Linked DNA regions of Solanum lycopersicum. The protein of the gene in region 1 interacts with the protein of each later gene in a pairwise test. Links are inferred from orthologs where the notes say so. Each region holds a gene or a part of one and is shown in the gene's direction. Other genes may lie near its edges.

What was found.
Region 2: the proteins of splicing factor Cactin (region 1) and UPF0235 protein At5g63440 interact in binary tests that used the Arabidopsis thaliana proteins (3 or more experiments, as listed by UniProt). The link is inferred for Solanum lycopersicum from reciprocal best matches to the Arabidopsis thaliana genes AT1G03910 and AT5G63440.

What each region holds. Positions count from the first base shown.
Region 1 is NC_090809.1:63,797,572-63,802,089, forward strand, and holds splicing factor Cactin, read left to right. Parts: upstream 1-1,446; 5' UTR 1,447-1,696; coding exon 1,697-3,739; 3' UTR 3,740-3,966; downstream 3,967-4,518. UniProt on the Arabidopsis thaliana protein: Plays a role in pre-mRNA splicing by facilitating excision of a subset of introns. Required for embryogenesis.
Region 2 is NC_090802.1:58,721,735-58,726,250, forward strand, and holds the start of UPF0235 protein At5g63440, read left to right. Parts: upstream 1-1,480; 5' UTR 1,481-1,576; coding exon 1,577-1,691; exon of another isoform or gene 1,692-2,395; intron 2,396-2,467; coding exon 2,468-2,582; intron 2,583-3,161; coding exon 3,162-3,315; intron 3,316-3,625; coding exon 3,626-3,722; intron 3,723-3,952; coding exon 3,953-4,041; intron 4,042-4,154; coding exon 4,155-4,223; intron 4,224-4,516. UniProt on the Arabidopsis thaliana protein: May play a role during early embryonic development. Probably involved in pre-mRNA splicing.

The sequences.
Region 1 (4,518 bases):
ATTTGGAAAATAATTATTTAATAATGAGGATAAAACATAAAAAAAATTATTAATCCTTTTTTGATATGTTAAAACTGATAATTAAAAATAAAAATTTATTTTAGGATTGAGTTTACATCTGACAAGTAAAAGTGACTAATGTGTACTTAATGAGTCAAAAAAATATTCTTCCTGATAAACCTTTCTTTACTTTCTTATTAAACATATTTTTTTTATTTGGTTTAAAGATGCTTAATTTGAATAAAAAATATCCTCATTTTAATAAAAATGTTATTCATTTTCTTTTTTAAAATATATAGTGTTTAATTTTTCATTCGATATTTGACATTGAATAAGCGACTTTATACGTAAGAAAATCATATTTAAAATCTATGATTAAAAATGAAGGACACATTATAACAATCCTTGTTAGGTTTTAAGCACATCCTATTCCGATAAAATTATTATTTGAAAGAATAATATTTTTATCTTTTTCTTTTAAATCACTTTAATAAATAAATAAATAAATAAAAAGTAATTTTCTCCTTCTTAATTTCATTTTATCAATCATAATAAAATAATTATATACATTTTAACGGATTATATGTCTAATATATATATATATATATTATTCAATAATTTTATTATTAATTTTTATTTAGATAACGATGATAAAAAAAATACCCTAGTAAGATAAGTATTTGATAATAAAAAAAATTAATATTAGAAAAAAACATGTTTCAAAAATAGTAGTTATTTAGAAAAAAAAGTTTGGATCAAATTATTGATGATAAATATACTTTTAGTCAAACAGTTAATTATTGATATTTTTTTATATAAATTAAAATATCCTTTCACCTTTTTCATAAAAAAATATCTTTAATTGATATTAAATATATAAAACAAATTAATACCAAAGAAAAAAATATATAGAATACTGTTATAAATATTTTATTTTATGTAGATATCAACTAAGTGCAGTCTCTTCATCTTTTCATTACTATTCTTTCATTATATTCCACCTCGTACATGATCTCTATTGTTATGCTATTAATGTTATATCATGACAATCTTTTGTATAACTAATAAAAATGATAACTAATAATATTATTAATGTTGATTAAATCCCTTGCGGAAATGGACGAAAGAATATTGAATATGATTAAATACATAGAGAACTAATGATTGATTAAGATAAAATTGTTATTTCTAATAATGAATTTAAGCTTTATGTTATCGAAAATACAGAACAATTAAATTAAAATCTTTGGTAGGACAAGTGAATGGAAGAAGAAAGAATTTCTTATATCAATTAAGGATGAGTTATTTTTAACATGCACAAATAATTATTCCTTTGTTGATTTTTGTCGCCATTAATTAATATAACGATATAAATAATTTATTATTGACTTAATTTTAAATCTAGTATAAAATTATATGCTAATACACTTTCTAATCTTTGAAGTCAAATTTCTTGTTGTAGATCTCCAACCCAATATGAGTGAAAAATAACTTTTCATTGATAATTCTTGAAATTAATTAGTCAACAATTATTTTTTTAAAAATAAAATTCAAAATAAATATATTTTAGCCGCTTGACCAAATATGCCACTTTTATATATATAAAAAATATTTAAAAAGAAGAAAAGCAAAAATCCCCAAAACCTTAATTCATCTCAATCTGATTATTGGATATCTAGCTTATCCCGCCGCCGCAATGGGTTCCTCCGGCAACCGTCGTAGTAAAGGGAAGACGGCGTCAAAGTCCGGCAGACGCCGCCGCCGATCTTCCGACGATATTGCATCAGACTCCGATTCAATTTCTCACACCGAGTCGGAATCCGAATCCGACTCATCTCCGCCGAGTAGCAGCCGCCGCCGTTCAAGCAGTAGCAGAAGCAAAAGTCGAGGTCATAGTAGCAGATCGAGAAATCATGATTATGCAGACCAAGAGAGTAGTGACGACGAGCGAAAGAAGAAAAAGAAGAAAATTACTGAAGAAGAAATTGCTTTGTATATGGCTAAAAAAGCACAGAAGAAGGCAGCGAAAGTAGCGAAGAAGCTGAAAACGCAGAATGTTTCTGGTTATTCGAACGATTCAAATCCATTTGGAGATTCGAATCTGAACGAAAATTTTGTCTGGCGGAAAAAAATTGAACGAGATGTTACTCGAGGGGTACCGCTCGATACTTTCTCGATGAAGGCAGAGAAGCAAAGGCAGAAAGAAAGAATGGCTGAAATTGAAAAGGTGAAGAAAAGGAGAGAAGAAAGAGCAATTGAAAAAGCTCAACGAGAAGAAGAATTACAGATGCTAGCTAGAGAACGGGCCCGGGCTGAGTTCCAGGATTGGGAGAAGAAGGAAGAAGAGTTTCATTTCGATCAGAGCAAAGTCCGGACTGAAATTCGTCTTCGTCAAGGTCGTGTTAAGCCTATTGATGTTCTTATCAAGCAATTAGAACCTTCTGGAGATTTCGATGTGGAAATAGACGAGCCCTATGTGGTGTTCAAGGGTTTGGCTATAAAAGAGATGGAAGAACTTCAGGAGGATATAAAATTGCATATTGATTTGGATAGGGAAACACCACTGCATATACAGTATTGGGAAGCCCTTTTGGTGGTTTGTGACTGGGAGTTGGCTGAAGCTAGGAGAAGGGAAGCAATGGACAAAGCACGAGTACGCGGAGAGGAGTTACCACATGAATTGCTAGCAGAAGAGAGGGGTTTGCATTCCAGCATTGAAACAGATGTGAAGTCTTTGTTACAAGGTAAAGGTTATGGTGAATTAGAAGCATTGCAGTCACAAATTGAATCACAAATGCGATCTGGTACTGCTAAAGTTGTAGAATATTGGGAAGCTGTTCTTAAACGGCTTCAGATTTACAAGGCTAAGGCTTGTTTAAGGGAAATTCACGCTAAAATGCTGCGCGAACATCTTGAGCATCTTGAGAAACCAGTGGAGAGCCGTGATGTAGAGGTGGAAGAGACATTGAGGACTGATGAGGAAGACACGGATCATGAGCAAAATGATGTTCGAGCCATTTCTCCAGAACCAATCTTGAATGAGGTAGTTAAGGAGAAAGAGGAGGTGGAGGGGGAGGAGGAAGAAGAAATAGACGATGAAGAGGCTGGTTCTTATTCGCCTGTCTTAATGCACGGGGATGATATAGAAGAAGCAGTTGATCCTGAAGAGGACAGGGCGATACTCGAGAGGAAACGTATGGCTGTTTTGGAAGAGAGACGTGCCCAAGACAAGATTTTGCCACCGACTCCTGCAGAAGACAACTTTGAGAAGAAGGCTTCTAAAACTATGGGAGCAATGGAGGAAGGGGATGTAGTATTTGGCTCAAATGATGAAATTAATCTTGATTCACAGGTGTACTGGTGGCATGACAAGTATAGGCCAAGGAAGCCTAAGTATTTCAACCGTGTTCATACTGGTTATGAATGGAACAAGTATAATCAAACTCATTATGATCATGACAACCCACCTCCAAAGATTGTGCAGGGATACAAATTCAATATCTTCTATCCTGATCTTGTTGACAAAGCAAGAGCTCCAACTTATGTCATAGAGAAAGATGGAGATAGTGCTGATACTTGCATCATAAAATTCCATGCTGGCCCTCCTTATGAGGACATAGCTTTCCGAATTGTTAACAGAGAATGGGAGTACTCCCATAAAAAGGGATTCAAGTGCATATTCGACCGAGGAATTCTGCATTTGTACTTTAACTTCAAGCGTCACAGATACCGTCGTTGATGGGTTTCCAGAAGCACACCGCTTGTTCCAAAGTTCAGTGCTTTGTTATCCATTTCTCATTTATGTATTTGTTAGGCCAGCTTGTATGATATGTTCATTCATGAACGAAGAATTTTGTCAACTTGCTATTAGGTGTGATACAAATCTGGAGTTTTTCTGATTAGCTATGCTAATTGCTGAAATGAAGTCACTGTTGGCTGACAACCTTTAAAGGTTAGCCTTTTTAATGTTCCTTGTATCAGTTTGTCCAAGATCCAATTCTACCAATTAGCTTACGTTGTAGAGGCTAGCACTGAATGATTTTTATCTTCTTAGTACTAAGAGGAACACAGGTACCTGATTGGAGGGCTCCCTTTAGTAAACCCCAACATATCTTGTATCCTTTGACCTTTCCTGAGTAAACCACATCATGCCTCCAAAATATGCTGAACTTTTCTTATGATTAGCTATTATTCCAGAAGCCATTGAGAACTCTTGGTAACATTGGTACAGTTTTTGATGTTATGACTAACTGATATGTATGTAGCTGGAGTGAAAATCTTTGTTTAGTGGTTAATCGTTATAGGCTGCTCCTTCTAACTCACCGCCTTTTGATTGTGAAACAGTGTTATTCGTAATGTGTTATTTACCCATGTCCTAATTTTTTTGTTAGTTCTTTCCCATGTCTTCTCTGACCAAATGGATGAGTGGTGTTGGCTAACTAAAATTTTAATTTTCTTCCTGAATTGATAACAGTAGTTTCTTTCCTGCTTGCTATTATTATAGGTTTTGGGGATCGT
Region 2 (4,516 bases), on another chromosome or scaffold:
ATTGTTCATTCAATTTGTATTACTACATTTGTTGTTGTGCTTATTCTACATCTTGCTATCTGTTGTTTTCATTTTATTATTATTATCATACATCGCCATATTTACTACCTAACTCTACTTGTGTGATTATACTGTCTATGTTGTTGTATTAAAGTAACAATGTGATCACCCCAAATCGACAGTTACAAGAGTCTTTATTGTTACTTAACTATGAATTACTTGATGACGTTGAAGTGATGAAAAAAGCTCAAGATGTTAATTCGAGTTGTTTATTATAAAGTGGTAGTGAACGAATACACATTAAATCAATAGTTCGGATAGGAAATATCATTTTTTAAAATTTGAAAGTTATATGAGGAATGTAATGATGTTACTAATTGAGCAGTGTTAATCATTTTAAAAAATCTCAAAATCATTTGATGTTACTATGCATATTGTAAATAATGTTCTTAACATTTTCAATACTCAAAAATCAAAATCAAATGATAGTCTATTGTGAATTTAATGTAACTAGGCCTGGAAACATGAAAACAAAGGGAAAACAATAGAAAAATATTGAATCTAAATTAGAAAGTACTAGAAAATTTAACGGTAGTTCGTACGAGGAATTAATATCTAAAGCGGCAACTCAAATATATTAATGGCTTAAAGAAAATGTATGGGTCTTACACCTAAATTGTTGATAATGTTTATATAATTATTTTCTTCTAGTTTTCAATTGATAATATGATCAAATTCTTTTAAAATTATATTAATGAGATATACTTTAAACATGTTAAATTTCTTCTATAATTCCTTCATTTTTCATGAAAAGTTACTGTTTTCTACAAATAATATTCAATATTTGTTAAAAATAATAATAACATAGCCTATTATTATTAAAAATGAGGCCCTTAAATTTGAGAGTTTAAATCGCATGTCTTTTTTTAAAATATTGTCGTAGATAAAAATATACAATATTGAGCACTCCAAATTTTCGTTAACATTATATTTTTTCTCACATTATGTCCCGCATTAAAAAAGAGAAGGAAAACGATAATGAGAATTGAAACATTGTGTTAATAATGTAGAATTTCACACCTACATTACTTTCTTAGGCAAATGCACAAGATTTTTGTTCATATTATTGTATACAACGTAAAATTAAATATCAATAAGATAATCTATTACTTTTTTTGTTTTATATTATTTGATTCATATTGACGTGACACAATCTTTAAATTTTTTTTATTAAATAACCTTTGTTAAGTTATATGCAAAGTTCTCAATTTGACTAATTATGTTTTGAGTAGTATAGAAGAAAAATAATAAAAATCCCTCAATTTATTAAAATGAACAAGTAAATAAAATAAAATAGAGAATCCGAGAACATCTTTCATTTCGAAAAATTATGGGGTCACATTTGAGTTTTTACAGTGAAGTTGGAGGCAAACTGTCCAAATAAGAAAAAGACAAGGGCAAAAGTAGAATTTACTGGGAATATCCAATCGAGCTGAAAGAGAACGAAAAAAAGAGAAAAAATAATAAAATCTTCATCCTTCTCCGGCGGTGTACTTGCGAGAGTTTTAGGGGAAAGATGCCGAAGAGGACAACGCACACATACTCTAGCGAAGACGCAGTTACCGACGGTACCAACTCCGATCTCTTCGTGTATTACTGCAAGCACTGCAGTTCTCATGTCCTCATCTCCGGTTCGTACTCTCACCTTTTTCTCTCTATTCTGTAAACAAATTTACTCGCACTGTACTTAAAACGAATGAGCGTTAATTTGGTTGGTTATTTGTTATATTTGTTGAATTTTCAGTTTACAGTACTATGTAAATCGCATTTTTTTTATTGTTGAAAGTTTTACTTCTAGAGATGAGGTGGGATGTTGAGGTTTATGATAATTGGTGTGAAGGAACTAGTTGAATTATGCTAAAATCTGAAAAGTTTGGAGAGTCAACTATGGTCTGGAAGTGATTTAGAGAAGTTCTTCTGAACTATTGAGTCATTATGTTTATAGTAGTAACTAGTAATTGGTTATATGATGGAATGTGATACATGCTACGTTGAACGTTGAGAATTTCTAGTTTCCAGTATTATCCGTTTCTTCAAATTTCGACGTCTAATGGTTTGTCGTCTTTTGCTTCTTGTGCGCGGATTAGATGTGATTAGGTGGTGTATAATTTTTTTCTTGTTATTGGCATGATGGAGAAAAACTTCCTTATGATTATATTAAGAATGAGAGAGGATTTATTGTTACTTTTACTATATTATGGCATTTTTCTCTTCTCTTCTCATTTGAGCCGAGGGTCTTTCGGGAACCGCCTCTTTATCCCACAAAGGCAAGGGTAAGGTCTGTATACATCCTACCCTGCTCAGACCCCACTTGTGGCCCGTTGGATTACACTGGGTATGTTGTTGTTATATATTATGGGGTTACTGCCAATTACAGGGCATTCTCCTTGCTAAAGTATGGTTGTAGATAATCAATTGCAGAAAATGCCAAAAAGGAAAACCGACAAGGCATATGTATTGGATAAAAAAAAGTATCTCGCAAGACTGAGTGTAGATGATGCGGGGAAAGTTCTTCTAAAGCGGTAATCTTTCTGCTCCTGTAAACTTTAGTATATTGATGTTGCTTCCATTAAAAGTATATGCAATCATCTGTAGAAGAATGTACGAAATTACACGTCAAGATTACAAGGTGTTTCAGTTTAAAATGGAATACCTTGCTCTGTTTGTAAGGGAAGCGTTGCTAGATTCTAAGAGTTAAAATGAAGCTCATGTAATCCTTGCAGTAATAAACTTGACCTACAGTGGAATGACATCATCAGAAGAGTTTAAAATAGGTATATCTAAATTATTACTGGAATACATATATGGAATGAACATGGATAACATGCAGACCAAAATATTATTACCATTGGGGAACCACAAAGATGGTGAGTAAAATACAGTCAAATGTCAGTAGGAAAAACTGAACTGAACGTGGACTTAATTACTTTCTGTCTTTGTGATGTACTTTGTCGGTTGGCCTTTTGCAGCTGCTCGTTAACGTAGAGATCTTTAGTTCATGTCTCTTGCTTCAGTGGAAAAGAACTTTATTATTGATGACTGATATGAGTAACAATTTAATATGGAACATTCTTTTGAAACCTTTTGCTTTTGCTTTATAGTGGTGAAGGGAAAATGGAGAAACAGTTTCGGATGTCCTGTAAGGGATGTGGCCTGTTTGTCTGCTATCGGGCAGAAGAAGATCTGGAGACTGCCTCTTTCATATATGTAGTTGATGGGGCACTTAGCACTATTGCGGCTGAGACAAATCCACAGGTATTATATCCTAATGATTTTGCTGTTATTCACTTTCTGGCTGCATTATATAGTTATGCCTACATATTTTCTGTATTTGTAGCAAGCCATAAATATGATTGTTGTCTGCTTTTTTACACTTCTTTTCTGCATTAGCTTGTTAATCTTTCTGTATTCTCTGTCCCTTGCTTGTTTGTAAGATCATGTAAAAAAATCTTATGCTTTATTCGAACACAGAAAATTCCTTATTTTTCTTACTTGTCAAATTATATACATGTTCTTCCAGATACATATATATCTTTAGGAATTAATATTTTCTTGTTTTATGAAGGATGCTCCTGTACCACCATGTATATCACAGTTAGAAGGTGGCCTTGTGCAAGTGGCGATAGAAGTCGAGGACCGTGCCCAGCGGTCAGCAATTACAAGTAAATAATCCTTCAATGATTTTTGGAAGTTAGACACTCTCATTTGCTTCAATTTCTTCAGTGTTGGGAAATGATTTGTCCACCTGAACAATTCTGCAGATGATTAATAATAATAATTCCTACTCTTCTGCTAATTGTAAAAGCTGAAAAATTTAGCGGTTGTACTGTTAACTTATCTATTTTGGCCTTGATGTTGATGTCTCGCTTATTTGACATTTATATTGTTGTAGGAGTGAATGCAGATGATGTTCGGGTCACTGTAACCGCACCTGCAGCTCGTGGGGAAGCTAATAATGAACTTCTGGAATTCATGGGCCGAGTATGCTGAACATTTTTGCCTTTGCCTCTTGGAAAAACTTTCATATTTGAGCTCATTATTTAGATACTTCGCTGGTTGATTCGCTGAACCACTAAGATTTTTTGTTTACGCAGGTACTGGGTCTGAAATTATCTCAGATGACTCTCCAAAGAGGATGGAATAGCAAATCAAAGCTTCTTGTAGTAAGTCAAAATTGACACGTCTAACTTTAGCTGTGTGTTTTCCCCATACGCAATTCTACTGTTTTCTCTGTTAAGTATTTTGGTCAGTTTCCTCTTTGGCTGGATAACCTGTAGATATTCTCTAGTGCTAATTTCGACATCAACAATACATACCATTTTAAAAACGAACTCTTATGTGTTCTCTTGTTCCTTGTGAGACACTGAGCATACGTCTTCCCTGCTATCTTTTGCATGTATATTATGGCTATAGAGATTAAGTTCTAAGGCTTGGTGTAATATTAACCTGAATATCA